3 linked regions of the Arabidopsis thaliana genome follow. The protein of the gene in region 2 interacts with the protein of the main gene of each other region in a pairwise test. Each region holds a gene or a part of one and is shown on either strand. Other genes may lie near its edges.

The links. Proteins that work in one complex are often made in the same cells at the same time.
Region 1: the proteins of TGA6 (region 2) and NPR1 interact in binary tests that used the Arabidopsis thaliana proteins (3 or more experiments, as listed by UniProt).
Region 3: the proteins of TGA6 (region 2) and GRX480 interact in binary tests that used the Arabidopsis thaliana proteins (3 or more experiments, as listed by UniProt).

What each region holds. Positions count from the first base shown.
Region 1 is NC_003070.9:23,852,192-23,857,478, forward strand, and holds NPR1 (regulatory protein (NPR1)), read right to left. Parts: upstream 3,468-5,287; 5' UTR 3,217-3,467; coding exon 2,656-3,216; intron 2,577-2,655; coding exon 1,841-2,576; intron 1,733-1,840; coding exon 1,529-1,732; intron 1,419-1,528; coding exon 1,138-1,418; 3' UTR 557-1,137; downstream 1-556. Other genes in the region: AT1G64290 (F-box protein-like protein), read right to left, coding at 5,203-5,287. UniProt on the Arabidopsis thaliana protein: Salicylic acid (SA)-binding substrate-specific adapter of an E3 ubiquitin-protein ligase complex (CUL3-RBX1-BTB) which mediates the ubiquitination and subsequent proteasomal degradation of target proteins.
Region 2 is NC_003074.8:3,904,616-3,909,144, reverse strand, and holds TGA6 (TGACG motif-binding factor 6), read right to left. Parts: upstream 2,795-4,529; coding exon 2,729-2,794; exon of another isoform or gene 2,695-2,728; coding exon 2,620-2,694; exon of another isoform or gene 2,573-2,619; coding exon of another isoform or gene 2,525-2,572; coding exon 2,453-2,524; intron 2,362-2,452; coding exon 2,302-2,361; intron 2,178-2,301; coding exon 2,100-2,177; intron 1,767-2,099; coding exon 1,715-1,766; exon of another isoform or gene 1,466-1,714; intron 1,426-1,465; coding exon 1,154-1,425; exon of another isoform or gene 1,080-1,153; coding exon 834-1,079; intron 709-833; coding exon 562-708; downstream 1-561. Other genes in the region: SCPL15 (serine carboxypeptidase-like 15), read left to right, coding at 4,227-4,360, 4,449-4,529.
Region 3 is NC_003070.9:10,012,878-10,016,051, forward strand, and holds GRX480 (Thioredoxin superfamily protein), read right to left. Parts: upstream 1,380-3,174; 5' UTR 1,171-1,379; coding exon 757-1,170; 3' UTR 557-756; downstream 1-556. UniProt on the Arabidopsis thaliana protein: Has a glutathione-disulfide oxidoreductase activity in the presence of NADPH and glutathione reductase. Reduces low molecular weight disulfides and proteins.

The DNA of each region.
Region 1 (5,287 bases), on a different chromosome or scaffold from region 2:
CATAGTGGATTCAAAAGACTTGAACGGCAAGTACCCTATGAAATTGATGATTTCCTCAGGACTCGACGCTGATGATTGCTTTTTCCCGCTTGCCTTTCCGCTTACCAAAGAAGTGTCCACTGATAGTTGGCGTTGGTTTCTCACTAATATCAGAGAGAAGGTAACACAAAGGAAAGACGTTTGCCTCGTCTCCAGTCCTCACCCGGACATAGTTGCTGTTATTAACGAACCCGGATCACTGTGGCAAGAACCTTGGGTCTATCACAGGTTCTGTCTGGATTGTTTTTGCTTACAATTCCATGATATTTTTGGAGACTACAACCTGGTGAGCCTTGTGAAGCAGGCTGGATCCACAAGTCAGAAGGAAGAATTTGATTCCTACATAAAGGACATCAAAAAGAAGGACTCAGAAGCTCGGAAATGGTTAGCCCAATTCCCTCAAAATCAGTGGGCTCTGGCTCATGACCAGTGGTCGGAGATATGGAGTCATGACGATAGAAACAGAAGATTTGAGGGCAATTTGTGAAAGCTTTCAGTCTCTTGGTCTATCAGTGACAGCGAACGCACCTGCACATGTGGGAAGTTTCAATCGAAGAAGTTTCCATGTATGCACCCAGAAATGGTGCAAAGGATTGTTAACTTGTGTCATTCACAAATGTTGGATGCAATGGAGCTGACTAGGAGAATGCACCTTACACGCCCACTCAGTGTTCTCTTATCTCTAGACCTGAAACTAACTTGCTGTGTAATTCGAGTTACAAAAGGTTAAAGGAAGAATTAGGAAGATACATATAACATGAATGTTGCCAGAAGTTCAGGGAACTTGAATATTCTTTTGGTTCTTGGTGGAAAATATCCAACAGATGAACAATTTGACATTATTTCACACTTTGATTCTAGCAACTCTGTAACACCATCATGGGTTATTGTTGATGTACATAAATATATATTACAAATCTGTATACCATTGGTTCAAATTGTTACAACATTTGTTTGAAGCACACCTGCAGCAATAATACACAGGATGCAAAACGAAGAGCGAAACTATATGACGCCAACGATAGACATAAACAGTTACAGTCATCATGAAAACAGAATTATATGGTACAGCAAAAATTACACTAAGAGGCAAGAGTCTCACCGACGACGATGAGAGAGTTTACGGTTAGACCTCTTTCCACCGGTTGATTTCGATGTGGAAGAAGTCGAATCTGTCAGGGACGAATTTCCTAATTCCAAATTGTCCTCACTAAAGGCCTTCTTTAGTGTCTCTTGTATTTCCATGTACCTTTGCTTCTTTTGTAGTCGTTTCTCAGCAGTGTCGTCTTCTCCGCAAGCCAGTTGAGTCAAGTCCTCACAGTTCATAATCTGGTCGAGCACTGCCGAACAGCGCGGGAAGAATCGTTTCCCGAGTTCCACTGATGATAAAAAAACAAGGTCAGACAGCAAGTAACAAAACCATGTTTAAAGATCATTTAGTTTTGTTTTTTGTGATAAGGAGTCCGATGAAGTGGGTGAGAATCCATACCGGTTTTAGAAAGCGCTTTTAGTCTACTTTGATGCTCTTCTAGGATTCTGAAAGGTGCTATCTTTACACCCGGTGATGTTCTCTTCGTACCAGTGAGACGGTCAGGCTCGAGGCTAGTCACTATGAACTCACATGTTCCCTTCATTTCGGCGATCTCCATTGCAGCTTGTGCTTCCGTTGGAAAAAGACGTTGAGCAAGTGCAACTAAACAGTGGACGACACAAAGAATAGTTATCATTAGTTCACTCAGTTTCCTAATAGAGAGGACATAAATTTAATTCAAACATATAAGAAATAAGACTTGATAGATACCTCTATTTTCAAGATCGAGCAGCGTCATCTTCAATTCATCGGCCGCCACTGCAAAAGAGGGAGGAACATCTCTAGGAATTTGTTCTCGTTTGTCTTCTTGCTCTAGTATTTCTACACATAGTCGGCCTTTGAGAGAATGCTTGCATTGCTCCGGGATATTATTACATTCAACCGCCATAGTGGCTTGTTTTGCGATCATGAGTGCGGTTCTACCTTCCAAAGTTGCTTCTGATGCACTTGCACCTTTTTCCAATAGAGATAGTATCAATTGTGGCTCCTTCCGCATCGCAGCAACATGAAGCACCGTATATCCCCTCGGATTCCTATGGTTGACATCGGCAAGATCAAGTTTTAAAAGATCTGTTGCGGTCTTCACATTGCAATATGCAACAGCGAAATGAAGAGCACACGCATCATCTAGATTGGTGTGATCCTCTTTCAAAAGCAACTTGACTAACTCAATATCATCCGAGTCAAGTGCCTTATGTACATTCGAGACATGTTTCTTTACTTTAGGTACCTCCAAACCAAGCTCTTTACGTCTATCAATTATCTCTTTAACAAGCTCTTCCGGCAATGACTTTTCAAGACTAACCATATCTACATTAGACTTGACAATAATCTCTTTACATCTATCCAATAGCTTCATACAAGCTTTACCACATATATTAGCAAGCTTGAGTATAACCAATGTGTCCTCTATAACAACTTTGTCTACAACGTCCAATAAGTGCCTCTGAAATACAAATACAAGTACTCAAGTAAGAACATATTCATGAATGTGTAACCATAGCTTAATGCAGATGGTGTTTTACCTGATAGAGAGTAATTAATTCAGGGATCTTGAAGATGAAAGCCAAATAGAGAACCTCCAACATGAAATCCACCGCCGGCCGGCAAGCCACGTGGCAGCAATTCTCGTCTGCGCATTCAGAAACTCCTTTAGGCGGCGGTCTCACTCTGCTGCTGTAAACATAAGCCAAAACAGTCACAACCGAATCGAAACCGACTTCGTAATCCTTGGCAATCTCCTTAAGCTCGAGCTTCACGGCGGCGGTGTTGTTGGAGTCTTTCTCCTTCTTAGCGGCGGCTAAAGCGCTCTTGAAGAAAGAGCTTCTCGCTGACAAAACGCACCGGTGGAAAGAAACTTCCCGGCCGTCGGAGAGAACAAGCTTAGCGTCGCTGTAGAAATCATCCGGCGAGTCAAAGACGGATTCGAAGCTGTTGGAGAGCAATTGCAGAGCAGATACATCAGGTCCGGTGAGTACTTGTTCGGCGGCCAGATAAACAATAGAGGAGTCGGTGTTATCGGTAGCGACGAAACTAGTGCTGCTGATTTCATAAGAATCGGCGAATCCATCAATGGTGGTGTCCATCAACAGGTTCCGATGAATTGAAATTCACAAATTAAAGAGATCTCTGCTAATCAACGAAGAGACCTTATCAACTGGATTTGGTTAAAGATCGAAGATAACCATTGACGAGCAGAGCCAAGTCAAGTCAACGAGAGTGGTGGTGAGATATGAAGAAGCATCCTCGTCCCACGGTTTACATTTCACCAAAACCGGTAAATTTCCAGGAAAGGAATCTTTGTCAGAGATCTTTTTTAAAAAGATATAACAGGAAGCTAAACCGGTTCGGGTTATAAATGTTAGTATTTATACCGGAGACATTTTGTGTTGCTAATTTTTGTATATGAGAAGTTCAATCCGGTTCGGTAAGCCCCTGAACCAAACTAGATTTGGAGATGATATAAATATATAAAATTTATTTTTCATCCGGTTCGTTATTTTCATATAAATATATAAATATTATTTTTTAAATTTAAGAATTAGATTTACATGTGAAAGTTACATTTCTGTTTATTTTCTTTGAAGTAAAATGATAAAGGGAACGTATATTAAGTTTCATGCTTTATTCACATAAGTTTTGTAATGTATATTATATTTTTCGTTTATTGAAAAAGTAATTTTCAGTGTTCAGCATGTTTACACTATAATTAAATCAAGTCGAATATTTCCTGGAACTATTCTCCTTGTTCTATAGCAAATGAAAACGCTCTTCACAACAAAATCATTATAGATATAGGAATAAATTACATTAAAAACATGAAAGTCATAATGAATATATTTTTTTAATTAGGATTTGATTTAAAAACAATTATTGTATACATATAAAAGACTTCTTTAGTTATTTGCCTTCAACTTCTCGTTCTGAATCATGCGATAAATCAGCTTTTTCAATAACTACGACGTAAAAGCAAATTCATAACACGTCTAAACAAATTTGGCTCATCCTTCACTTGATTGGTGTTTTCCGGACTCGATGTTGCTGGAAACTGAGAAGAAGAAGGAATCTGCATAATCACCTCTTGGTTCCTCACCGGTAGACTCATTTTGTTGGATCGAAAACGATCGAGATCAGAAAATGAAAAGATAGGTTAAAGATGCCTATGAATACAACAACGTAAGATTATGTTGAATAAACAGAGTACTTTATATAGGAGTTATAATAAGGTAAATAAATTATTGCTTTCCGCGTTTTTTACTTTTGTATTTCTTAAATGATAAGTTAAATTAGGATAAGATTTGTATGATTTTAAGTAAATTTACAATAACTCTCTATAACTCAATAGCATCACATATTTAATTAATTTTACTAATTATCTTTTGAACAATTTTATGAAATAGTTTTCTTTTAATTAATTTTTTAAAATGATATATTATAAAATTTAATTGAATCAATCTGATATAATTTTTTTATCTTCTACCATCTATTATAGTTGATAAATATTGTGATAAACTTTAGATAAACACCCAATTGCCAAATATTTAATAAATTTTGTGTACCATGCGTTTTTTTTGGAGAATATATATACGTGGACAGCATACCGTACATATATTGTATAAAAGCTTATAAAACATAGATACGGGTTATATTGGTAAGCTATAAATATATGTAAACAATAGTAAGATATTACGTGTTGTGTCTAAATATGTGTTGCTTTAGATATTATTGTATATCTAATATATTAAAATATCTTTTATTAACTAATATATTATTTAAGAGAGAAAATTGGGACACTATTTTCTATACAGTAACTGTTTTCAACTATAAACAGGAACCCTTGATATAATAAAATAACTAGCCAAAAAATCAGATTAAATATTCATAAAACAATGTTTGGTATTATTACATAAACCTAAGAAACAAAATTCAATATTCCTTTTTACCTTATAAAAAACAATTAAACATCACTAGATATATTTATGCCCCACAATGAGCGAGCCAATTGAGACTTGAGACTTGAGATCCTTGTCAACTACGTTTGCATTTGTCGGCCCATTTTTTTTATTTTTTTTTTAAAGTGTCGGCCCGTTGCTTCTTCCGTTCAGATCAACCCTCTCGTAATCAGAACAAAACGGAAAACAAACGAAAGAACAATCA
Region 2 (4,529 bases):
GGAAGAAGTCTTCTTCCTGGAAATAATTAGATCTTTTCATTTGTATGAGTATTTTCTCTGACTCAGGTTGGTTATACATAGTATTAGCCAAACCTCTGTAAGCTTTATGTGTGACAGTGTTTACTGGGCAATCTTGCTATGATTTCAAGATACACAATCTGCTCTCTTTTTTGAACTCTCAATATAAATTGATTTGGTCTGCTGGAGTTTATGATCATACAATCCAAGTTCCTGAAAGGATCCCATCTTCTGTCATGTTGGTAATTGCGACCTTACACTGATCACCTATCCGCTTTGAATATTCAAAGACCTATAAACATTCACTCTATAAAACTATGCAACCTGATGGCTAAAAATTACAACACACACAACACTCGAGTCTTGCGGACCTCAGGAAACCAATTTCAAAACCTGCAGTCTTCTTTCCCAAAATATTGCTTTTGGTAAGAATCTGAGAATGCCTTGCTTTGTGATCGATCTCTTGGAAGGAGTATCCCTGCCGATCTGAGTCATAAGATTATGTATAGGGCTGACTGCTGAGTAGAGCACTATTCTTCTGTTTCACTCTCTTGGCCGGGCAAGCCACAAGGAACTAAGAGCACGTAATCGAGATGAATAATCGTGTATAGCAAGAAGAGCACGAGCTGACTGACGTGTTGTTAATACTCGAAGCATCTGTTGTAGTGTTTGCAGCCTCAAGTTATCAGCCTGCCACCAAGAAATGCCCTATGAACTCCATAACAGACGGATTCATATATAAAATAAAATATTTATCTCTTTGTGACGATGAAAAGATATGGTATATCTCGATAACATCCACATTTCTAAAGTACCTGGCGTATGAATCCTTCGAGGGTGCCTAACTGCCCCATTGCCATGGCCATCTGACCCATGTAGCTCGCGACATTATCCGATGAACTGGAACCAAGAGTTCCACTGGATAAAGTATCAGCTAGGGATTGCTGTAAACTCTCCATCCCTTGAGATAAAGCATCTTCTGCCTGCTGCGACGTCTGCTGCAAGCTATTGATGCCCATTACCTGTCGTTCTGTCATGGGCTCTAGCTGATTCGCAAGAAGCTGTTGTGAAAACACTGCGACTCATTAAGTTGGCTGTTCATCAAAATCTCTCTATGGACTTGGAAAGAGCTTACCTTGAGAAGTTCGGATGAGCGGAACCCGCCAAGCCACAAGAAACATCGCTCAGCTGGTGTTTTCCACATTCCAGATAACAAGTGGAAGACATCATTCTTAGCTGCATTGCTCTTAATCCTGAAAAGCTCCTCATAGTGAGCCATCACTCCATCCACAATTATCCGGAGCTCAGTATCACCTGCATGAGCATTCAGGGCAGATCTCAGCTCGTTCATTTGCCTGTTCTTTTCTTCAAGCCATCGTGAGTGTTCTGCATCAAATGCCAAAGCCCCTGCAGAAAGGCAAGTATACTAGATCAAGAACAAACCCTTGCAGACCTAAGCTAACACCAGCGCAAACTATAAGAAACTTCAGTTTTGACATCACCATGACTTTAATTTCCCATCCAGATCATCACTGACTCTTGAAACCATTAACTCTAACAAGTGTAAGCATATTGCCATGAGATGACTTATGCTATCACCAATTCATCAACATATATGTATATATGCACTTATCTCACATAGAAATTTCAAATCAAAAGGATCAATCTCAAAACTAACAGAGAAGAAACAACCCACCATTGCCACCAGTAGAATGAGCTTGGTCTCCTGAACTTGAGATGAAAACTCCCTAAAATTGAAAAATATATATCCTTAAGTGACAAATACACTGTCATGAGTCATGACAAAGAATCTGATAAGAACCAGAATAGAAATTCTCTGTATGCCATCAACATCCGAATAAACAGACCAGAAGGACCTATTTCGAGAGAGTTACCAGCTACTTTTACCCAACTAAACTATGGATGACCCATAATTCTGTTACCTCCTCTACTTCAGCTAACCCAAGACTAGTACTAACTCGTAACTGACTGTTAGTTATAAGTTGAAGTAGCTTCAGCCTTTTATCTTCTTTATAAAGACATACATATCAGAATCAAAACAAATAAGAAAGTTAATAAACCTGCTGTCTTGCTCTTTGCAGCTCCTGCTCAAGTTGAGTCAGCTTTAATCGACTATTCTCCAGCTGCTGAACATACGCCTATGGAGGAAACAATAACATGCTTAAGGTAATGACAGATAGATATTCTTCTAGAGATATTACAAGGAAATAAGAGGAATATATAAGAAAAATCAAAACAAGAACAAAAGCAAAATATACATACCTTCTTCCTCAATCTGCTTTTTCTTGCTGCCTCACGATTTTGAGCAAGCCTACGAAGGGTCTATGGATCAAAACGAAAAGGAAACAAAACAGATTATGCATATGCGTAATATACACAGATGCTAGTTGATCCACAGAGATGAATCTATCACCTTTTGATCCAACTTATCCTTTGATCGATCACTGGAATCAGAGGCAGCAGCATGCATATGCCCTCTATCAGACTGCATGTAATCAACATCAGGAATTACTGTTTCATTCAAACTATGCATGTTTGATGAACATAAGCAAATGACTAGTCCTGTGGATTTGGCTATACCGGTAGAATGCCCCAAGTTTTACCAAGGGATTCCGGTACAAGCCTCCCAGGAGTGACATTGTAGAGATAATAAAACTATAAAATGATTAGAGCCAGATTACGAGCTAACCCCCAGATCTCTATGATCTGTGTCACCATCAGTTGAGACATCAGTCCTTGAACTGGTATCAGCCATACTAGTTTCTGTACTAATACTTGAGCAAACACTATCCACTTGTGCTCCCTTTTGCAATGATAACCTTTCACCTCTGGTGCAGAGTTTCACACTAGAGGGAGGAAAAGCTGCCAAGAGGAAAGAGAAAAGATGATTATGAAAGAAATTAACAGATAGCAGAGAGAGAGAACTGCATCAGTTTGGAATTTGGGCACACTCACAAGTATCAAGTTATTGGCTCACGGAAACCAGCTTAAGTCACACTGCAAGACAACGGTTCAAGTACTAACATGGACTGAAACAAAACAGCGGATTCAAAATCTAACACAAGCGAGAACTAAGCTTATAACACAAGCGAGAACTAAGCTTATAGCAGCTGATCACTCAAACCAATAACTCATCACCAAGGATTCAAAATCTATGACTCTTAACAGAATTCAACAGACACATGAAATTCAAAGCATACTAACATTTGAAATCCATAAGGATTCATCAAGATAATTCGATGGAATTTGGTTGCTGAAAACGTCATCAAATGAACAAAAAAAACTTGAAACTTTATAAGCTTCTGAAAGTCAACTAAGTCTTAATTTCCAAAGGCAAATCACAAAGTGAGAAAAAGTAAGCTTTCCAATGACTAAAGTAAAACAAAGAAGGAGGAAACTTCAAACAAAAGAAAAAGAAAAGAAAAAGGAAAGAAACAAAACCCAAAAAACAAAAGAGCTTGAGTTGCAGAAAGCAAGAAGCTCACCTGAAAAAAACTGAAATCTCCTGTCTGAGTAAAAGGTTGTCCGAAATCGGATTGAAAGAAGAAGAAGCAGCAGAGACACGATCCGTAATTACAATCTCTGAGACGTCGATTTGTCTACAAACCCACCATCCCAAAAAGAAACATCGACAAATTTAACGGGAATTTGCAAACTAACCCCCCATACTATTCTTGTTACCCCTAACGAACTCTATAGTCTTAGCTTTACAAATATTACCCCATACAAATTTATTGAACCGGTTCAAACTGTCAACCGGTCCGGTTTTCTAGGCAATGCTGAAATCATTAAACAATAATTTGTCCTATGTCATGTGCAATAAAATAACCTGCAAAGCATTTTACATGGGACTTTGTCCCTTCTGGCCTTCCACGTACATTCTCACGTCAAGTGCCCAAGTGTTTTCAGCTCAAACCCTCAATTTCAATTCGTTAACCAGTTGGCAGTTGGTAATTGAAGGAGAAAACAAACTCTAAACACCTTTACATCCAAAGGAAAACTAAACAGATTAATTGGAACTGGTTAGAGAGACTAACCCGAATTGTCTCGGGTATAGATATTGCAATTGACCGGTTTATAGAACCATACTCAACCGAAAAGATTCCATCTTTGTTTTGGGTCAACGCCTCTGCTTTTGAGTTTTGAGTATATATAAAAAATGTTAAAACTCAAAAACTAAAACAAGAATGGCTTCCTGGATATTCAAGTTGCTGCTGCTGCTGCAATGTGTGCTTGTGTTGATTCAACATGCTGATTCAAGTTCTATCATCAGATATCTTCCTGGTTTTGAAGGCCCTCTTCCATTCGAGCTCGAAACCGGGTTCTTTTCCTCTGCATTTTCATTTCCATATTACCCCTATAATGTATGTATGACGCTGTGTTCTGAGTTTTAGAGTTACATAATGAAGGTATATTGGTGTTGGTCAAAAAGAGGAAGATCAACTGTTCTACTACTTCATCAAATCTGAGAACAATCCAGAAGAAGACCC
Region 3 (3,174 bases), on a different chromosome or scaffold from region 2:
TGTAGTTCCGTTCTGATAAAGCTCATGGTTAAGTTCGAAGAACCGCTTGCATGTGACTTGGGTGGTGTCTGTAATTGAGGGTTCTATGCTCTTTGCCGTTTATGGCTCGGGCCAGCAGTAAAATGCTTCCAGCTCTAAAGGTTAACGTTTCATTGGTCTCCACTTTTTGCCGCGCCGTCTCCACTTTGTGCATCATAGTGGAAACATACCAATTGGAGTGATATCTTCCATCCCTCCCACATTTTTCACCTCAATCTAAAGGATCTCTCATATTTTGGCATTTGTGAATATTCAAATCTGATAAACTACCACGTACCCCAAACAAGAGCATTAAGGTCACATTTAAATCACTATCACCTAACAGTCTAACACAGTAATAAATTCTTTCCGTTTCACAAAAGGTTGATAAATCTTTTAAACAAACAGATCCATTAATTTCTATCTCACTTAGAAGAGTAGATGCCTAAAACGAATGATACAATGAGTACCATCAAAACATGAATACCATAAAAAAAAAAATGAATCTATATAAAATCTGATGACAAAAAAAAACGAGTACTATCAAAACAGAGCACAATGAATGCTATAAAATTATTGGGTACAATCTCTAGCAAATTTCAACTTGAGACTTTTCTTTTATTTATTTCTTTATATACATATATATGAAACGATTCAATTATAAACCGTAAACAACAATTACCAATCAAGATTCTTAATTAAAAGAAAAAAAAATAATTTTAAATTATTAATTTACAATCACAACCACAGAGCCCCAACTTCCTTAAGAATTGGAACTAACTCACCGGAGATATGAGTAGCCATAACCCTATCTAACCCTCCAAACAACCTCCCTCCTACATAAACCGCCGGTAACTTCACCGTACCTCCGCCGCCTTGAACTCCAATATTCTCCAACTCACTCAAAACTTCATCTTCCCTCTCCTCATCAATCTCAAGGACCGCCGGATTCACTCCAAGTCCAAGAAGCAGCCTCCTCACCACATGACACATGCAACATCCTCTCCGTCCAATCACAATCACCGCGTTCTCCTCCACCACCATCCGAACTCTCTCGCCGTTTCCCTGCGTTTTAAGCGATAGCGGCCGCAGAGATTCCCCGACGGTTGTCGTCATGTTATAATTTCTTGCACAAGAAATCGTTCCTTGCATTTTCAAGTATGTTTTTAAAGATAGATACCAATTAGGAAAGGAAGGTTTTGTTATATATACATGAAGAAAGAGAGATCAGAGAGGAAAGTCTAGCGTCAACGATGGTTACGTAAGGATGTGCGTCACAGGAAGCTATGGGTGATGGTGCTGTTTACGTCACTGGATTGGAGTGGACTTAGTCATAGGACCGTGTCGTTATATCGTATCACATGTTTCACGCTGACTTTTTGGATCCCACTTTATTCTTTTAATAAATCTGCACGTTTTAATTTTGGTTCCTCTCTACTTTACATAATATTTTACTGCTTTTTTCATATCAATAAAAAATAGGAGAATTCTCAGAATTTATTACTATTATATTTGGGTTGTTTCGAAACTTTCGATAGATGGTTGTATACTTAGAAATATTCGCATGTGACGACCACATAGTGGATGCTTGCTTCTTTCGATCTCGACCATCAAAACGGAATCACCAGACTATATACAACAATTTTGGTAATCTAATACTAAAATTGTAGAAAACACAATTTTGTTTTGGGATTGCTAAATAAATACACTAGAGATGCTAGAGAGACCTAGCCTAAACTTTCGATATTTTCCGTTTTATCATTCAAGTAATTAATATAACATTTAGGTGTAAAGGTTAATAATATATATGACATTATATTCTTAGTGATCAAAAATCTAAACATAAACTTTTAGGAAAAAGACATATACTACTTTCCAAATTAATGTAACACGATCATGTCATATAGTAATGACCATGTTTGGATGAAAGTGGTAATTATGAGACGTGATTAAGTACTCTTGTTGAATCCTTCTTTTAAACCAATACTAAGAATAAGTTTGACATTATTGTCATATTATTTGTACTCGGACTTTCCGAGTAGTAGTGGAGCCTTATTAACTAATAATAATAATACGCATGACAGGAAAAAACTGAGAAGGTCATTTAGAAAGAACCATCGTCGAAGGATGGACGGTGGAAAAGTCGGTAGACGTCAGCACCAAGCCACCAACTAATTTGGTTTGTTTTAATGGAATCATGACGTCTTTCTTCTTTAAAACTCATGTCACCCATTTCTTCCTAAATTTGGACTATTATATGATTATGGGAATTGCATTTCTTTATTAAAGTCACGTGTCATCCTTTAACTTTATAAGTTCTTCAGGTTCCAAACTCCAAAGCCTTTCCAATTTTATCGTTCCACCAAATCCTGAAATGAAAGTTCAACATCCATCATGGTCCCAAAACGTTAAAAATATTTTAAAAAATAGAGTGTGGGGGATTTAAAAATTCATGACCGCTAGTAAAATATACAAATTTTCAACAAAACAAATTGCATGACCGCTTTGTTGGAGATATTATATTTACAGTTGCCTAACGTGAGAAGTTTGCATAACAAAACTAATCACAAACTCACAATATATACCATTCTTCTGTGCACCGGAAATCTATAACACTTAAAATCTTAAATGTGTAAACCCTAAAATTTTACCATACAATTTTTGAATTGAGAAAACAATTATTTGTTTTTGGTTTCTAGGATTAGTAAACAATCATTTATAGTAGCATCGGATTTTTCATGGACTATGAATCTTCTCAATAGACAGACTTAGGTCACGCTTTAACCAACAAAAACTCAGCAAGAGTGGTTTCTTTCTTCTATAACAAATGCCAAATATGCGTTTCAATATAACCATTTTCTATAACAGTTAATAATCAAAATTTTGTAACGTAGAAAATGGTCTTTATTAATACTGTCGTAGATTTGTAATAACTTATTGGGCTCTGTGGTCTCTTATTGGGCTTTATAAGATTCTCCAGTAGCCCAAAAATAAACTTTCAGCGAATCTCAAAGCCAACCGCAGGTGATGCGTTTTGCTATGTAAGAGAGACGAATCTCACGCCGGAATCTCTTTTACTTCACCGTCGTTTGTTCTCCGTCGCGTCACCTTTCGATTAATTCCTTCACAGGTAAGGAAGCTTCTTCAATTTTCCTC